Ovis aries: one gene and its partner. The protein of the gene in region 2 purifies or fractionates together with the protein of the main gene of each other region. This does not show direct contact. Links are inferred from orthologs where the notes say so. Each region holds a gene or a part of one and is shown on either strand. Other genes may lie near its edges.

Evidence for each region.
Region 1: the proteins of ZC3H8 (region 2) and LARP7 purify together in Homo sapiens (affinity purification with mass spectrometry; 4 studies listed by BioGRID and IntAct, counting the BioPlex papers as one, with this or other methods). This does not show direct contact. The link is inferred for Ovis aries from reciprocal best matches to the Homo sapiens genes ZC3H8 and LARP7.

The regions. Positions count from the first base shown.
Region 1 is NC_056059.1:13,385,758-13,394,718, forward strand, and holds the start of LARP7 (la-related protein 7), read right to left. Parts: upstream 5,127-8,961; 5' UTR 4,971-5,126; intron 1-4,970. Other genes in the region: protein ZGRF1, read left to right, coding at 8,316-8,384. UniProt on the Homo sapiens protein: RNA-binding protein that specifically binds distinct small nuclear RNA (snRNAs) and regulates their processing and function.
Region 2 is NC_056056.1:106,296,320-106,305,180, forward strand, and holds part of ZC3H8 (zinc finger CCCH domain-containing protein 8), read right to left. Parts: intron 6,891-8,861; coding exon 6,768-6,890; intron 6,270-6,767; coding exon 6,156-6,269; intron 4,987-6,155; coding exon 4,879-4,986; intron 2,609-4,878; coding exon 2,579-2,608; 3' UTR 2,559-2,578; intron 1,808-2,558; exon of another isoform or gene 1-1,807.

The DNA of each region.
Region 1 (8,961 bases), on a different chromosome or scaffold from region 2:
CTATTTGTGTCTCCTGAGTCTGACTGTCAGCTATAATCTGAAAGTGCAGCAGGGATGCTGCAGATAGAAACAGATTTTGTTTCAAAGTGACATTCAGGAGGAGGGTACCAAGCCATGAATGCATTTCACTTCAAACCTCCAACTAAATGTGCATTCTCATCAAAGGAAGAGTATTTTGGCATTTTTAAAACAGGCTTCTGTTGATCAGGTAACTACTAATTTCTAAAACAGGTAATTATTTAGATGATGCTAGCCTAACTCATAAAATGGAAGTACATGCCAAAATTAATCATTAGAAAAACAATCAGGTGCTACATAACCATTTATTTCTCATCTCCCACTCTCACTTCAACCCATCCTGTCAGGCTTTCCTTTCCATCATTCTAATGAAACTGAAAACTAGGATCCCCACTATCTACCAGGCCTCTCAGGAGCATTTGCAGTTGCTAACTCCCTCACAAAACATTTTCCTCATTTGGCTTCCATGAGTTGTCTTCTCCATTTCCTTTTCTGGACCCTCTGACTCTGCTCTGCCTTTCCATGATGCCCAGGACTGAATGCAGTCAGTCCTGGGCTCCCTTATCTACACACATGTCGTTCCAGAGGGCCTCTGGCGTTAAGCTCCATGGCTCTCTATGCTGATGTTTCACAAACCTGTCCACTCCCGACTTACCCCATTACCTCCCCATTCCAACACGCAAATACCCACCTGACCTCTTCACTTATTCATCTGAAGCATATCTCAAGCTTAAATTGAACTCTCAAATTTTAGCAAACCACGTTTTTTTCCTAGTTTTTCCCGTCTCGGAAAATACCAGTGAAAACTGCTGAGAGGGCACAAACACTGAAATCCTTAATTTCTTCCTCACACCCCACAGCCAATTCATTAGCATTTCTGTTAGCTCTAGCTTTTCAAAATTCGTATGACTCCTCATTTCTTCCATCACAACCACCTGCTCCAAGCTATCACGGGTACCTTGCCTGCAGTTCAAACACATCCTCACATTTACTTGCTTCTACTCCTCTTCCATTGTCAATTCTCCAGATAGCAGTCAGAGTGATCATTTAAATATATAAATAAAATGTCAATTTCTTGAACAAAATCCTCCAAAGGTTTCTTATCCCAGTCAGAATAAAATAAAAAATCCTTATTGTGGCCTATAGGTCCTATTACATCTGGCCTGGGGATTTCGCTCTAACTTCGTCACTTGCAACTTCTTTCAGGGTGCTCATTACAACCTCAACACACCATCGTTCTGTTCCTTGAACAGTCTAATGCATTCCCATTCCACGGCTTTTGCTCCTGCTGTTTCCCAGGTTTCCTGTCACATCTGCAGGGATTACTTCCTTGTTCACCCAGGCCTCTGCAAATGTCACTTTCTCAAAGAGGCTTTCTCTTTCACCAAATCTAAAATATCCCTTCCCTGCCAACCATAACCCTACCCTCCCTCACTCACCACTTTCTATACTTATATGCTCTTATTCCTGCCTGGAATTATAATTTTATTGCCTGCTTCATTATAATATAAACACTAAGAAGGCAGAGACTTCAGCTTGATCACAACCTTGGCATTTATTGTCTAGTTAAGTAATATAACTAACAGCATCTAATAAATTGTCAAGTATTGAGCATTTCAAGTTATTTTGTAAGGGGGTAGAATTATAAACAAAATACAAATGTAGGCTATGATCGTCACTACAGAATTCACTACTAACTCTTTCATCTGAAAAATCTATAAAGGGCAGATTACCACTTCTCCTGGTGGCTCAGAGGTTAAAGCATCTGCCTGGAATGCAGGAGACCCGGGTTCGATCCCTGGGTCGGCAAGATCCCCTGGAGAAGGAAATGGCAACCCACTCCAGCACTCTTGCCTGGAGAATCCCATGGAGGGAGGACCCTGATAAGCTACAGTCCATGGGGTTGCAAAGAGTTGGACAACACTGAGCGACTTCACACACACACTACTTCTCCATTTGTTTTCATCGTCAAAGCCACCATCTAAGGAGATAGTGGACAAAACTGCATAAACACAGAAAGCCACAAATCTCCCAGAAATCAGACTTTTCCCAGCATTCTCTTCTCAGCCCTGATACTCTCCTTCCTTTCCCATATATAAATATATATATATATATATTTTGCGGCCTGGAGAATTAAGTTCAGAAAATCTTGCCCCATGTGAATAACACTCTGCAACTTTCAATCTTAAAAATCTGTGGAGAATCAAATATACCTTCATTTTCGAGTACAGATATGGATTAGATTAAACAGGAATTAAGCTATGGTACAAGTTCTCTTTGCTACACATTGGTTGCAGAAGATCAGGAAGTTACATGATAGTCATAGTTTACTTTTTCAATGTCCTATGATAACAAATAGGTATACTGTCATTCCATACATTCCAAATCAAAGTTCTTATCTTTCTTAGCAATGTCTGTTCTGCTGTTCTCACCACCCTCATTTTCTTTAAGGATGACATATTCTACTTAGTTAACCAGTCGAGCTATTTACTAGCTGTATGGATTTGGGGCAAGTTAACTCAACTTTCTACGATCTACAAAGTGGAATAAAATTTATACTGACATACTAGGGTTGTTTTAAAAATTAACCAAAATGGATAAAGCACTTTCCATTGCTGCTATACAGCACACAGTCAACAATATCTAACTGTTATTTATTATCATTTTATCATTTACCAATCTGTCATTAATCCCTATCAATGTAACCTTTGGAATGGCTCTTATCTTCATCCAGTGTTTTCCACAACTACTGTTATAATAATACGGAAATTGTTTATAAATTGTTTGAGAAGTCCTCCATCCTTCACAGAAGCTGTGTAACTTGTCTAAACACAGGTCTAATTTTGTGACTCTAATGCTAAAACTTTCAACAATAATAATTCTTTAGCATCTTTTGGTAACACAGCATATATTTTTAAAAAATTGTTAAATGAATCAACTAGTTTCATAGGGTTTAAACAAAGAATAAAAGTTACTGTGTAACACCAGTTACTTTACACACCTTGTTTTAAATCCTCATAATCCCTCTAGGTTATTTCTCTTAACTTTTTACAAAGGCTCAAAGGTTAAGTGACCTGGCTAAAGCTAGCTAGGTAAGTAAGCTCAGGTATGTTTAACTTTCACACTGCCTAAGTTTTAGTAGAACCTCTTGCAACCTCTTACCATGTAGTCTACGTTTTGACTCAGAAATCCTTTTTTTAAATTGTTAAATTTTTTTTTTTTTTACAATGTTGTGTTGGTTTCTGCTGTACAACAACGCGAATCAGCCATCTGTGTGTTCGTGCTAAGTCGCTTCAGCAGTGTCTGAGTCTTTGTGATCCCATGGACTGCAGCCATCCAGGCTCCTCTCTGTCCAAGGAATTCTCCAGGCAAGAATACTGGAGTGGGTTGCCATGCCCTCCTCCAGGGGATCTTCCTGACTCAGGGATCTAACATTGCATCTTACATCGCCTGCAATGGGAGGCAAGATTTTTTTAACAGTAGCGCCACCATCAGTCATAAATATACATATATACCCTCACTCTTGAGCCTCCCTCCCCTTTCTCCATCCCACTCCTCTAGGTCATCACAGAGCACCAGACTGGGCTCCCTGTGTCATACAGCAACTTCTCACCAGCTATCCATTTTACACACGGTAGTGTGTATCTGTTGATGCTACCTTCTCCATTCATTCACTCTCTCCCTCCCCACCCCGGCTGTGTCCACAAGTCCATCTCTCCTGGCTCAGAAATTCTTAACCTGAAATCCATGGAATTTGGGATGGATTTCAAAAATTATTGTAAATCCCACGAAATTTTCAAAGGTAAATTTTAAAGGTGAAACCATGACTTTTCTACGTTTATAAAATGAACTCGTCAATCATTTTATTTAAGTAATTAACCAGGGAACTAGTTAAGTGCTAAAAACCAGTTCAAAGGTGAACTCAAAAACTAGACAAGCGCAAATACAAGCAAGCAAAAATATTGAAATGAACTTGTTAACAGATGTAACACTAATCAGGGCAATAACTCTTAAGACTTATTTCAATTATAACTTACATAATTGTAACATAGCTCAATGACAATGAAAAGCAGAGGTAAGCTGGAAAAGTAAGCTAGACACCTCTTTTTTTTTGGCTATTTCAACGTCTTTCACAATTTTTCTTTAAAAGGTTATAGAAAATATTTAGAGATGTATATGTATTTTCCTGGGAGGCTCATCCATATCTTTTAAATCACGTTTTAAAAGGAAATGGTGTGTCAAAAAGGTTAAGAGAACTATAGTTCTAGTCACATCTGACTATCCAGCGTTGCCTACTTTCTTGTCTCTGTGCCTCTGCTTTAAAAGCTTCTTGTCTTCCTTGTCTTATCAAGTCCTATTCAATTTTCAAGGCCCAGGTTAAACGGCATCTTACTCTTTCTAGCTTTCTGCTAGCACATTTCCCCTAAACAACCGCCTCATCTGTTTCCCTTTTAAGTATGTCTATTAACGCACTCAATAATACACTGTATTTTTTCTTCCTTCCATAACTGGATGTTCAGCTCTCTGAATGACAGAGACAAAAGTTCTGAAAAAGGAAATGACTTAATTTAAAAATACAAGTCCACATTCGCTATCGTTTGGCCACCAAAACTCGAATCTGCGAAGAAAAGCAATTCCCCTTTTGACTACTGCCCCTTTAGGTACCCGTCCTTCCTCAAGGAAGCCGTCAGACGCGGGACTACCCCAAACCTCCCAAAACCGGGCGGCAAGCGCCCCCAATCACTAGAAAACTGGAACTGCAAGGGCTGCCGGAGGACTCTTGCGCGTGCGCACAGAGAACCAGGACACTAGGGCAATCTAACTGATGGGTTGGTGGGAGGGGGCGGGATGAGAAGGACCAGAGATGACAGAAAGGACCGGCATAGAAAAAGACTGAGAGTAATTTAGATCTCACCCAACCTGGGCTTCCCTAGAGTCCACTTAGAACTTACTCTGTCCAATTCCCAAAATACAGCGCCAGAGACTGCGTTCTTCAGTCCTTCGCGTCCCCCGAACCTTATAGTCGTGGTTATTTTAGCGTCACATGAGCGACAATTCTTCCGAACGCCTTGGAAAAGATGGGCCCAGAGGTTGTGCGACCGACATTTACGTCACTGGCGTAGGCCCGCTCAGCGTGGGGGCGGGACATCGGAGAACGCAGTCGCCACAGAGGCTAGCAGCCAAAGAGGAACTTGATTGGCAGTTTGAAAACGGCCATTCAGGTCCGGAGCCGTGGTGGGCGGGCTAAATAGTGGGGTTGGATCTGGTGCGGTCGCGAGTTGATGATGTCACGGCTTTTCGCGGGAGAAGTTCGAAAGTGGGTTTTGTGCAATGAGCAAGTTAAAAGAGCTGTTTCCACTCGGGAGTTTCTGGGGATTGAGGGTAGATAGGCTGGAGTTTTGAGCTCGAGGTGCTGTCACTGATTTTGATGCGACGGGCGAAGGAGTTTGCTCCGCCAGACGGGGTTCGGTAACGAAACTGTGTGGAGATAAGGTTGGTTCACGGCTTGGCGCAGCAACCTGTAAATAATTAGTGCTTCGTCTTTACCACCTTCCCCCAACTCCTGCTGGGCAGTTCCGGTATCCGTGTGAGAACCCGGGATGGTTTTGCTGTTTATTTTTAGGACTGACAAAGGGTCCCTTCTTCATTGTCATCTGGTTACACAAGCTAGTGATAATTAGAACGTTGGCAAATGAAATGTGAGCATCTTTTGGTTGTCTGGACTGGACCGTTTCTTAAAAGGCTATTGGGCTCGTGATTCTTAAATTTTTAAATCTGTGAACCACTTAGGGATTCGAAAGATCCTGCTTGTTCCAAAAGAAAAGGACCAAAAACATCTCATCGTACTTAGCAAGAACAGGTCATATTTTAGTGATAACACCGAATTTTATACATAAATCTAAAAAACAGCACAATAATGTGTGTGAAGATATGTATGTATTTCTGTACTAAATTATCGCAAAACATTTAATCTCTCCCTTTTTTTTGAAGTGTAATTCTTTAATCTACCACTTAACAAGAGTTAGGACCGTCTCAATACCTTTTACATCGCAAATCCCTCAAGTAATATTTCTAATTTAGGAAAACAATGGGGGAATTTATTTTGCAGTTGGTAAACAGCATATAAGTAATCCTAAAGAAGTAAATACTGGATTTCTAACCTGTAAATTGTGATGGTAATAACAACTTTTAGGACTATGAGACTGATAAATATTATATGTAAAGAATCCAGTCCCATTCTTGCCTGTTACAGTAGGTTTTCCATAGTCACATAATGTAGTTTTTGTGAATGGGAACACCAGAATTTAGACTACTTAGTTTTAAATTCTGAATCTGCCATTTATTTACTTCATGAGCTTAGGCAAATTACATACTGATGTACCTCACTTCCTGTTTTTGTAAAATGAATATAAAAAGTAGTATCTGTACTATAAGGTGTAAAATTTAAAGCATTTTAACAGTGTTCTAGCATATAATTTACACTGAATAAATAATAACTGTTATTAAAGGGATCTAATGTTAACTGCTACATGCCAAGCATTGTGTTGACACTATGTAGTCTTATCTACATATATTTGATGTCTAACCCATTCAGTGGCTAGAAGCAAGTTGCTGTTCAACCAGCAGTCAACTATGTGTTTCTTTGGACCTCTGTTATCTTCTTGGCATTCACTAGGCATCTGTCAATCCTGTTAGCTGGAGGGGAGGGATTAGGATATGGAGTTATATTTCTGAAAGGCAGTGCCTCTGTAGGTCTGGCCCTGTGCTGTGAACTATATCATGGGACAAGCATTCATTTCTCATTTGTGTACCGTTTGCCCTGCCCTTTCTCCATTTAGCAGCCAGAGCAATCTTGGTAAAACCCAAGTCAGATTATGTTAACGTATTCTTGAAATTCTGCCTTGGCCTCCTACTGTCTTTTTAAAAAGTCCGAACAACTTAGCATAAAATAGAATGCCCTTCGCATCCTGTTATTGCTCACTTTTTCAGACTTATCTCTCACAACTCACTATCTTACACTTGATTATAAACTAGAGTTCCTTGATTATGCCTTCCACAGCTTTTTTGTACGTGTTATTCTTATTTGGAAATACCCTCCTTGGGATTTTTCCTTGGTTAATGATTATTTCGGTTCACAGTATATGCATTATGTCTTTCAGGAAACCTTGTTTGATGCCCTAGACTGAGTTGGGTGTCCCTCCAGTGCTTTTCCTTCCATATTTTTTGTAATTACTGTTTATTACCCTGCTATACTGAAATTCCTTGAGACTAGGAGTAGTAGTTTGTTCATTTTAGTATCTTGGCCTAGCGCTATGTACACACAATACATAGCACACAGTAAGTACTAAATATATGTTATTTATAAATAACATGTAGGTGGTCTATTTTTTGTACATTTTATACATATAAAGGATGAATTTAATCCAGAATTGCAAATTATTGCTTTATTGAATACCTGTAGGTTTCAAACTTGAGTGTGTATCACTGCACCTGCAGTGCGTTTTAAATTACAGGTACTGGACCCCAATGCCAGCCTTTATGATTTAATAGCTCAAGACTCAAGAATTTGAATTTCTAACTAGCTCCCAGGTGTTGCTAATGCTATTGGCCCAGGGATCTAAGGCAGTGGTTAAAAATAATAATACTTTTCTTCGGCATCTCTGTTTACTTCAGTTCATTGTCAGTGATATTAGATTTCCAGATTTGCCCACAATAATAGTTTTATCCAATAGCATGGGATAAATATAGTACTCATTGCAATTATATTGAAAAAGTTTTTCCTTGGAGAGTGTATTATAATGTATATTTGGTTTTAGATACTATGTTACATTGACTTTGAAAAGGTAAAAGGAAAAATTTGAAATGCAAGGGGGCCATCTTGTGGTGATCGTAGCAATTCAGAGAATTTTAAAATTGAAGCTCTTAGAGAAACCAAGCTTCTGGGGCGGGGAGAGAATCCATTTTCTGATATATATTATGGCACCTGGAAAAATGTCTGCAGCCTACTCATCTGTGGGTTGGTTTTTTTTCTTTTGGCTTACCCTGGAAGCTTGTGGAATCTTTGTTCCCTGACCAGTGATTGATGCCAGCCCTTTGCAGTGAAAGCACAGAGTGCAAACCACTGGACTGCCAGGGAATTCCCTACATGTGTGTTTCCCTTGGTGATTACATAGTCTCAACACTTAAATACCCCTCTCTGGTCAAGAGTTGGTGGGGAAAAATTGTAGTTGATACTTATTCTGTTCATCAGGGTTGAATATTTGTCTTTTTTCATTTTAGGTGCTATAAATAGTTGAATGACTACTGATTATTTTCTGCACCTGAACCTAATTTCAGAAGAAGTAATGGAAAGCCAAGAATTTATTGTAAGTCTTATTTGTTTTCACTGTTTCCTTTTTCCTTCCTTCCTTTCATGTTTCACAAATGATTTGCCAGATTTAGCTAAAAAACCTAAAATAAATTTTTTAAAAACCCCAAACCTGGGACTTTCCTGGTGATCCAATGGCTAAGACTCCTTGCTCCCAAAGCAAGGAGTCCAGGTTCGATCCCTAGTCAGGGAAACAGATCCCACGTGTTGCAGTGAAAAGCTCACATGCCACAGTGAAGGATTCTGCATGCCACAGTGAGGACAGAAGACCCCACATGCTGCAACTAAGACCTAGTGCAACCAAAGAAAAACGAAAAACAAAAACCCAAACCTAAAATAGGACACTCTGTTAAACTTGAATTTCAGATAAACAGTGAATAATTTTTTAGTGTGAGTATGCATCTCTGAAATATTGCCCTGTATTCTGTCTGGCAACCCTAGAGTTCACATTGGTCGTGTCCGATTCTTGGTGACCCGATGGACTGTAGCCTACCAGGCTCCTCTGTCCATGGGATTTTCCGGGCAATAGTGCTGGAATGGATTGCCATTTCCTTCTCCAGTCACATTGGTTATGC
Region 2 (8,861 bases):
AAAGAGATTAACAGCATTTCACTAAAGCTGAAGCTCAAAAGCTAGTAAGCATAGGAAAGATGTACAACTTTATGAAAATAAAGCTATGTGACACCATTTCTACATCCAGTAAATTGGTCAAAATTTTAAATCCTGACAATTAAAGCATTGCTGAAGGTCAGTTCAGTTTAGTCGCTCAGTCATGTCTGACTGTTGGAGACCCCATGAACCGCAGCACGCCAGGCCTCCCTGTCCATCACCAACTCCCGGTGTCCACCCAAACTCATGTCCACTGAGTTGGTGATGCCATCCAACCATCTCATCCTCTGTCGTCCCTTCTCCTCCTGCTCTCAATCTTTCCCAGCATCAGGGTCTTTTCAAAGTAGTCAGATCTATGCATCAGGTGGCCAAAGTATTGGAGTTTCAGCTTCAGTCCTTCCAATGAACACCCAGGACTGATCTCCTTTAGGATGGACTGGTTGGATCTCCTTGCAGTCCAAGGGACTCTCAAGAGTCTTCTCCAACACCACAGTTCAAAAGCATCAATTTTTCGGCACTCAGCTTTCTTTACAGTGCAACTCTCAAATCCATACATGACTACTGGAAAAACCATAGCCTTGACTAGATGGACCTTTGTTGGCAAAGTAATGTCTCTGCTTTTCAATATGCTGTCTAGGTTGGTCATAACTTTCCTTCCAAGGAGTCAGCGTCTTTTAATTTCACGGTTGCAATCACCATCTGTGGTGATTTTGGAGCCCCAAAAGACAGAGTCTGCCACTGTTTCCCCATCTATTTCCCATGAAGTGATGGGACCAGATGCCATGATCTTAAGTTTTCTGAATGCTGAGCTTTAAGCCAACTTTTTCACTCTCCTCTTTCACTTTCATCAAGAGGCTCTTTAGTTCTTCTTCACTTTCTGCCATAAGGGTGGTGTCATCTGCGTATCTGAGGTTATTGATATTTCTCCTGGCAGTCTTGATTCCAGCTTGTGCTTCTTCCAGCCCAGCGTTTCTCATGATGTACTCTGCATGTAAGTTAAATAAGCAGGGTGACAATATACAGCCTTGACGTACTCCTTTTCCTATTTGGAACCAGTCTGTTGTTCCATGTCCAGTTCTAACTGTTGCTTCCTGACCTGCATACAGGTTTCTCAAGAGGCAGGTCAGGTGATCTAGTATCCCCATCTCTTTCAGAATTTTGCAGTTTATTGTGATCCACACAGTCAAAGGCTTTGGCATAGTCAATAAAGCAGAAATAGATGTTTTTCTGGAACTCTCTTGCTTTTTCCATGATCCAGCAGATGTTGGCAATTTGATCTCTGGTTCTGCTTTTCTAAAACCAGCTTGAACATCTGGAAAGTCACGGTTCACGTATTGCTGAAGCCTGGCTTGGAGAATTTTGAGCATTACTTTACTAACGTGTGAGATGAATGCAATTGTGCGGTAGTTTGAACATTCTTTGGCATTGCCCTTCTTTGGGATTGGAATGAAAACTGACCTTTTCCAGTCCGGTGGCCACTGCTGAGTTTTCCGAATTTGCTGGCATATTGAGTGCAGCACTTTCACAGCATCATCTTTTAGGATTTGGGAAATAGCTCAACTGGAATTCCATAACCTCCACTAGCTTTGTTCATAGTGATGCTTCCTAAGGCTCACTTAATTTCACACTCCAGGATGTCTGGCTCTAGGTGAGTGATCACACCATCGTGATTATCTGGGTCGTGAAGATTTTTTTTATACAGTTCTTCTGTGTATTCTTGCCAGCTCTTCTTAATATCTTTTGCTTCTGTCAGGTCCATACCATTTCTGAAGGTGGAGTAATGGAATTTCTTTTACATAGTTGGTGGGAATAAAAACTGTAAGAACTACTTTAGAAAAGACTGGCATTATCCTAAGTTTATTATTTTTTTAATTGGAAAAAAATTGCTTTACAATGTTGTATTAGTTTCTGCTGTACCACAATATAAATCAGGCATAAGTATACAGATCATCTTAAGTTTTAAGATGATACAATTCTACTTCCTGATTCATACTCAGGACAACTCACACACATTTCCATCAGAAGACAGGTAAAACACTTTTTTATAATAAGAGTTTGTACTTTAAAAATTGAAAATAACCTCAATGTCCATCAACAGTAGAATGTCTAAATAAATTGTAATATATTCATAGAAAAAAATGTTCTACAAGAGTACAAATGAATGACAGCTGCATGCATATACATGAGTGAACCTTAGAAGCATAATGACGAGTAAAAATAGCAAGTCACTAATAAATATCAAATATGATACTGTTTAAAATAATATCCAAACCCAAGCATAATATTCAGTTAACCTTACCCGTTTGGTAAGTCTACAAAGAATAAAACAAGAGAATAAAAATACAGAAAGACAGTGACAAATCCAGAGTGGGAAGTAGACCCACAGAGACCCACATACATATCTACTTATATCTGTCAAACATTGTATAACTTTTTTAAGTGAGCAAGAAAAAGACTTCTATTTGAGAAAATATATGTTCCCATGCTGATTTCTAGAGACATTTCAGAGGGGGAAAAGAAATGTTAAATTTTAATTTTACCTTTTTCAGCTATTTTATTTTCATGATGACTTCCTTTCAGGATCCAAAATCTAATATAGAGGGGAAAAAAAATTCACAATCATTTTCATGTACTATCTAATTCAGGTACATCATCATACTCTTATAATTTTCCTTTTTTTTTTTTCTTATAATTTCCTAAAGATTCCTACACCATTAATCCTAGTAATTACCTAATAATACTTATTAAAAGGGGAACTGGAAAATGAATTCTATATACATCATTTTTTCCATATATGCTTCATGGTAATAAACAACCAAATATTTGCTATAATTTCTAATTCCAGGATAACTCTTCCTATTTCAAAACTAAAAACATAAGGACCTTTGACTTTTCAGAAATAAGGACCTTTGACTTTCCAATATTTGCATATGCTCAAGGGAGTTTTTGTTGCAAGATTAAACAGTCTGGTTTCAAAAGAATCTTTTCGGAGAGTGTTTTGTCTATGTTCTCCTCTAGGAGTTTTATAGTTTCAGGTCTTACGTTTAGATCTTTAATCCATTTTGAGTTTATTTTTGTGTGTGGTGTTAGAAAGTGATCTAGTTTCATTCTTTTACAAGTGGTTGACCAGTTTTCCCAGCACCACTTGTTAAAGAGATTGCACATCCCAGAATACTGGAAATAAAAGCAAAAATAAACAAATGGGATCTAATTAAAATGAAAAGCTTCTGCACAACAAAGGAAACTATAAGCAAGGTGAAAAGACAGCCTTCTGAATGGGAGAAAATAATAGCAAATGAAGCAACTGACAAACAACTAATCTCAAAAATATACAAGCAACACCTGAAGCTCAATTCCAGAAAAATAAACGACCCAATCAAAAAATGGGCCAAAGAACTACATAGACATTTCTCCAAAGAAGACATATGGATGGCTAACAAACACATGAAAAGATGCTCAACATCACTCATTATCAGAGAAATGCAAATCAAGACCACAATTAGGTACCATTTCACACTAGTCAGAATAGCTGCGATCTGGAAGTCTGCAAGCAATAAATGCTGGAGAGGGTGTGGAGAAAAAGGAACCCTCCTACACTGTTGGTGGGAATGCAAACTAGTACAGCCACTATGGAGGACAGTGTGGAGATTCCTTAAAAAATTGCAGATAGAACTGCCTTATGACCCAGCAATCCCACTGCTGGGCATAGACACTGAGGAAACCAGAATTGAGACCCCAATGTTCATCGCAGCACTGTTTATAATAGCCAGGACATGGAAACAACCTAGACGTCCATCAGCAGATGAATGGATAAGAAAGCTGTGGTACATATACACAATGGAGTATCACTCAGCCATTAAAAAGAATACATTTGAATCAGTTCTCATGAGGTGGATGAAACTGGAGCCGATCATACATAGTGAAGTAAGCCAGAAAGAAAAACACCAATACAGTATACTAACACATATATATGGAATTTAGAAAGATGGTAAGGATAACCCTGTATGCGAGACAGCAAAAAAGACACAGATGTATAGAACGGACTTTTGGACTCTGAGGGAGATGGAGAGGGTGGGATGATTTGGGAGAATAGCACTGAAACATGTATACTATCATGTAAGAAATGAATCGCCTGTCTATGTTCGATCAGGATACGGGATGCTGGGGGCTGGTGCACGGGGCTGATCCAGAGAGATGATATGGGGTGGGAGGTGGGAGGGGGGGTTCAGGACTGGGAACTCATGTACACCCCTGGCGGATTCATGTCAATGTATGGCAAAACCAATACAGTATTATAAAGTAAAATAAAGTAAAAATTAAAAAAAAAAGAATCTTTTCTTTTCACTCACATTTCAATTTAATTTTGAAGAAATCAGGTCCAACTTACACATGGAAATGAAAGGACATAAACAACTATTATTTTTCAACTATCTTTTCTTACAATCTGAAAGAGCTTTTGAAGAAAACTTTGAAATAATTATTTGAGTATGCTTTGATGTAACTCTAAAATATTTATCAACCAATGATCCTTAACTTTCCTTCTAAGAGTGTATCAGGAGTACTATTTCTCCTATCTGCTTTGTTTTCCATTGGCTGACATAGCTACTGAAGTCGCTAAATACACTGAAGTTTTTAAGAACATTTCAATTTATACCAGCAACAAGTATAAATTTTCCTTTAAGCTACAAGGGAAAACATACAAATGAATAATAATTTTCTATACTGAAGTAAGTTGTCGTAATATAACCCATATGCTAACCCATGAAGCACTCTGCTTAAATAAGTGTCTTTTTAAATTCCCACCCTTAGGTTCAAACGTATTCTTTAAAGAAGAAAAACAAAAATTAAAATTGTACTTACTTTAGCCAACAGTTCTTGTGTTTCATCAGTCAATGGAGCATGTGAAAACTTGCAGTATTCTCCCTGATAACATTTTGCTCCTGTATGGTAAAACTTGCAAGGATATTCATGTAACGCAAGTGTTAAGGAAGAAAAAAATTTTAATCCTGCTAATATAACTTACTATTAATCTAATAACTTTATTTTTCCTTCATGAAGTTCTTTTCTACTAGTGGAAACATTAAATTCTCTATGTAAAATATGAGACGACAGGACTTCCCTGGTGGTCCACTGGCTGAGACTCAGCACTCCCGATGCAGGGGTCCAGGGTTCAATCCCTGGTCGGGGAACTAAAGCCCACATGCTAAAGATCCCACGTGCTGCAACTAAGATCCAGGACAGCCAAATAAATTAATGAATTAAAAATAAAAAGATCCATTCTTAACAAAATAAAGCACGAGACAATAAATTATTAACTGGGTTATAAGAAAATTAACTTTAGGATGATTATACACATGAAGTTTATTGGCTATCACAGGACAAATTTCTCCCTCATAATCATTCTTAAACCACAGGTATGTTTCACTGATAAGACAAAAGAGATGTGCATTTTAAATACTTAGAGAAATTTGACTATTTTTAAAGTATTCTTTTGGGGTGAGGGAATTAAAGTCAGTAACAATAATGTGTCTTGCAAATCTGGATCCTTGTTAGACTTGTTTAAAATGGGATCCATATACATAACTCTGATATTATTTTCCAGGAAAAATTTCTCAAGTTAGGGTTTGAGATTCCTCATATTGAATGACTTAAAGGAAAACAACTTTTGTGGTGACCAAATGTGCAGTTGTCCTAAAATGTTATGTTCCATGTTTTCATAGCATGTCTAGACCATTTATACTCAAGAGTTAGGGTTACTCTTCAATTAAGGGACAATTAATCTCTATACAGCACACAGTATAACAGAAAAGAAGTACTCCCAAACTATGCAATTCCTGCCTCTTTTATGAAGCAGATTTCATGAATACAGATTCAATTCAGGGATGTCACAGCAGAAATTCTGAGAAAGTATTCCTGGGACCTAAACTGTAAGGTCTCATGACCCTGTTACACTACCCAGTTAGAGAGGATGTACATTTGAGAGAATTTCTAATCTGTGAACAATTTAATCACTTCAATACTGAGTTGAGCTTAGATAATATAATTTTGCCATGGTTAAAACATTTGTTTCATTCAAAATTTTACATTCATGTAAACATTTATGAAAAGTAAATTTACTGTATCTTGTGATAAAGGATATTATGCAAATAAAGGCAGTTTTCCCCTCTGGTACAATATCCTTGTACATAAAACTTACACATTTCCTTTTTCTTCTCTATCTCTGCATCATGATCAAATTTACATTGGTCTCCCTGGGCCAAAGGAAGAAACAAGGGAAAGCTATTATTTCTCACAGTTAAGCCATTACAATTCCTACTTAATTCTGGATAAGCAAATGATTCCAGAAGAAAACAAAGTCTTAGAAGCAGTATAGTCTGCTTTTTAAAGAGCTATTATAACTGCATCGTATTACATATTTTGGCTTGCAATTTGTCAAGTCCTTAACATTTTTAACACAAAGCATTTAAAAAAAATTATCTATTTTCAGAGACATAAAACAAGGTACAAAAATTTCATGGTCTAAAGTATTAAAATCATACAGAGTCTGTTCTCTTATCACTGTGGAATTACATTACTACTTTCTAAATACAAAAGAATATTTCAGTAAAATTTTCTACTTGAAACCTTTCCAGAAAGAAAAAAGTTCTAAAATTATACAGGTATGCTTTTGCAGTGTCTAACAGAAACAGAAGCTGGTTTTAGAACATTTTTGCTATACCTTACATCTATTTTTTTTGCTTATACTATACCTTAATACACTTCCTTTCAAGAAAGTATTTACAAATTTGCTTTCCCTGGCGTTGCACCGTATGTTGGTTGATGAACCCCTGACTCATTCTCACAGGCTGCTGCTGCTCTTTAGATTTCCCATTCTATGAAGACAAAAACAAAAAACTAAACGTGAAAAATAAGAGATTAAACATTTGATTCCATTGTACAAAATTATCTTAAACCACCTTTTAAAACATTAAAAACTAACTCTTCTGAATTGCCCTTCAGGTAAGACTTGGATTTTTGTGTATCATTTGAAACAAATGAATGATCGTCGGTTTTGGTATCATTCCACCACTGAACATTAGTGTTTGTGCAATCTGAATTTTTACTGTATCTTGACTGCATGCGAACTGTGTCCGGCTCTTTGCGACCCCATGGACTGAAGCCCGTGAGGCTCCTCTGTCCATGAAATTCTTCAGGCAAGAATCCTGGAGTGGGCTGCCATTTCTTCCTCCAGGGGACCTTCCCAACCCCAGTGATCGAACCTGAGTTTCCTGCAGCTCCTGAATTGGTAGGTGGATTCTTTACCTACTAATTCTTTCTTATTGCACCATCTGAGATTATATTGTACTTGCCCTCACTTAAAAAATTTTAAAATTTTTAAAAAGTAAGTTCCACTCATTGTGATAAACAGTGAAGTCTAAGAACAAGGCTCTTTAGAACACTGGGGACAAACCTCAAAATTAAAAAGTAAACCAACCACAAGTAGCGTAATCTTTCATTTCAATGACAGGCTCATTAGGTGTGAGCTGAGTACACTGATGAGCTCAAATTAGTAAACATAATTAGAAACAGACCCTCCAAGATGGTGATAAAGATATGAAAACAAAACGGGACTTTCACATAAAAATGAGAGGGAAATTTTATTACAGGTCTTTAGAAACATAAATCACTTTCATGGAGAAGGAAATGGCAACCTACTCCAGCGTTCTTGCCTAGAGAATCCCAGGGACGGAAGAGCCTGGTGGGCTGCCGTCTACGGGGTCGCACAGAGTCGGGCACGACTGAAGCGACTTAGCAGCAATATATCTATGTCTATAGGAAGGATAGAAAATATCCAAGTACATGCTACATTTTCCTTTCTGACACTTTATCCCATGTTGTAAAAAAATAAGACCATCTTCAGAATCAGGGAAATGTAAAGACTGTACGATAAAGACAAAGCCTGGAATAATAAAATAAGTATCAACTCTGAAACCAAATATAGGTAGGTTTTATTTCAGCTCTGTGTGCCTTTGGGTGCATCACTTCTCCTAACCTTTATCACCTACAAAACTGAAATAATAATATCAATCTTGCAAAATCCAAGATATAGAACTATTGTGCCCAAAATGCCTGAACATACAGGAAGTGCTCAATAAACGGTCATTTTTTCCCCCATTAAAAAAAAAAAAAATCACTTTCAGCGTGTTAACTTGTGGTGCAACTTACAGCATCTACATATGGTATTCCCACATACGGTCTTAGGAACTCCACAGGTACAAAGAAGGGAGCTGACTGCACGCTTATGTGAGCTGCTCTGTAATAATGTCAAAATTCCACTCAGCACTATCAAAATCATGTGCCTAACAAGTATGCCAGTTTTAACTCTCAGTTTTATTTGATCATGTGATTGAATTCTAATAAACATGTTTACAATTTGTTTCTCATGTAGAAGAGCTGTCAGTTATGGTGGAATAATCACTTGAGTCAATCTAAACCAAAGGAAAGGGAACACTGCCTGAGTGCAGCCCTGCCTGGCCCTGGGTGACTACAGACCTAAACACTATGGCTTCACAGTCGCCTTCTGTAAAATAAATTTTATATAAACACATTTCAGTCCATAATATATGGTGTTTCTAATATTTTACTAAGCCCTAACTCTTGTTTCCTGAACCAAGCTTAACAAATGGATGCCATCCAGCTTAGAAGCCCTCAGAAAAGTAGAGTCCAGAAGAGTCACTTACTGCTCCACTGTGATTACATCTGCAGACCAAGGAAGAAGAACTTCTAGAAAGCAAAATCAAAATACCAGAGGGGATGGGGGGTCTGGTATCTGGAAGGGGGTGTCTCAAAAATATTCACTTTTA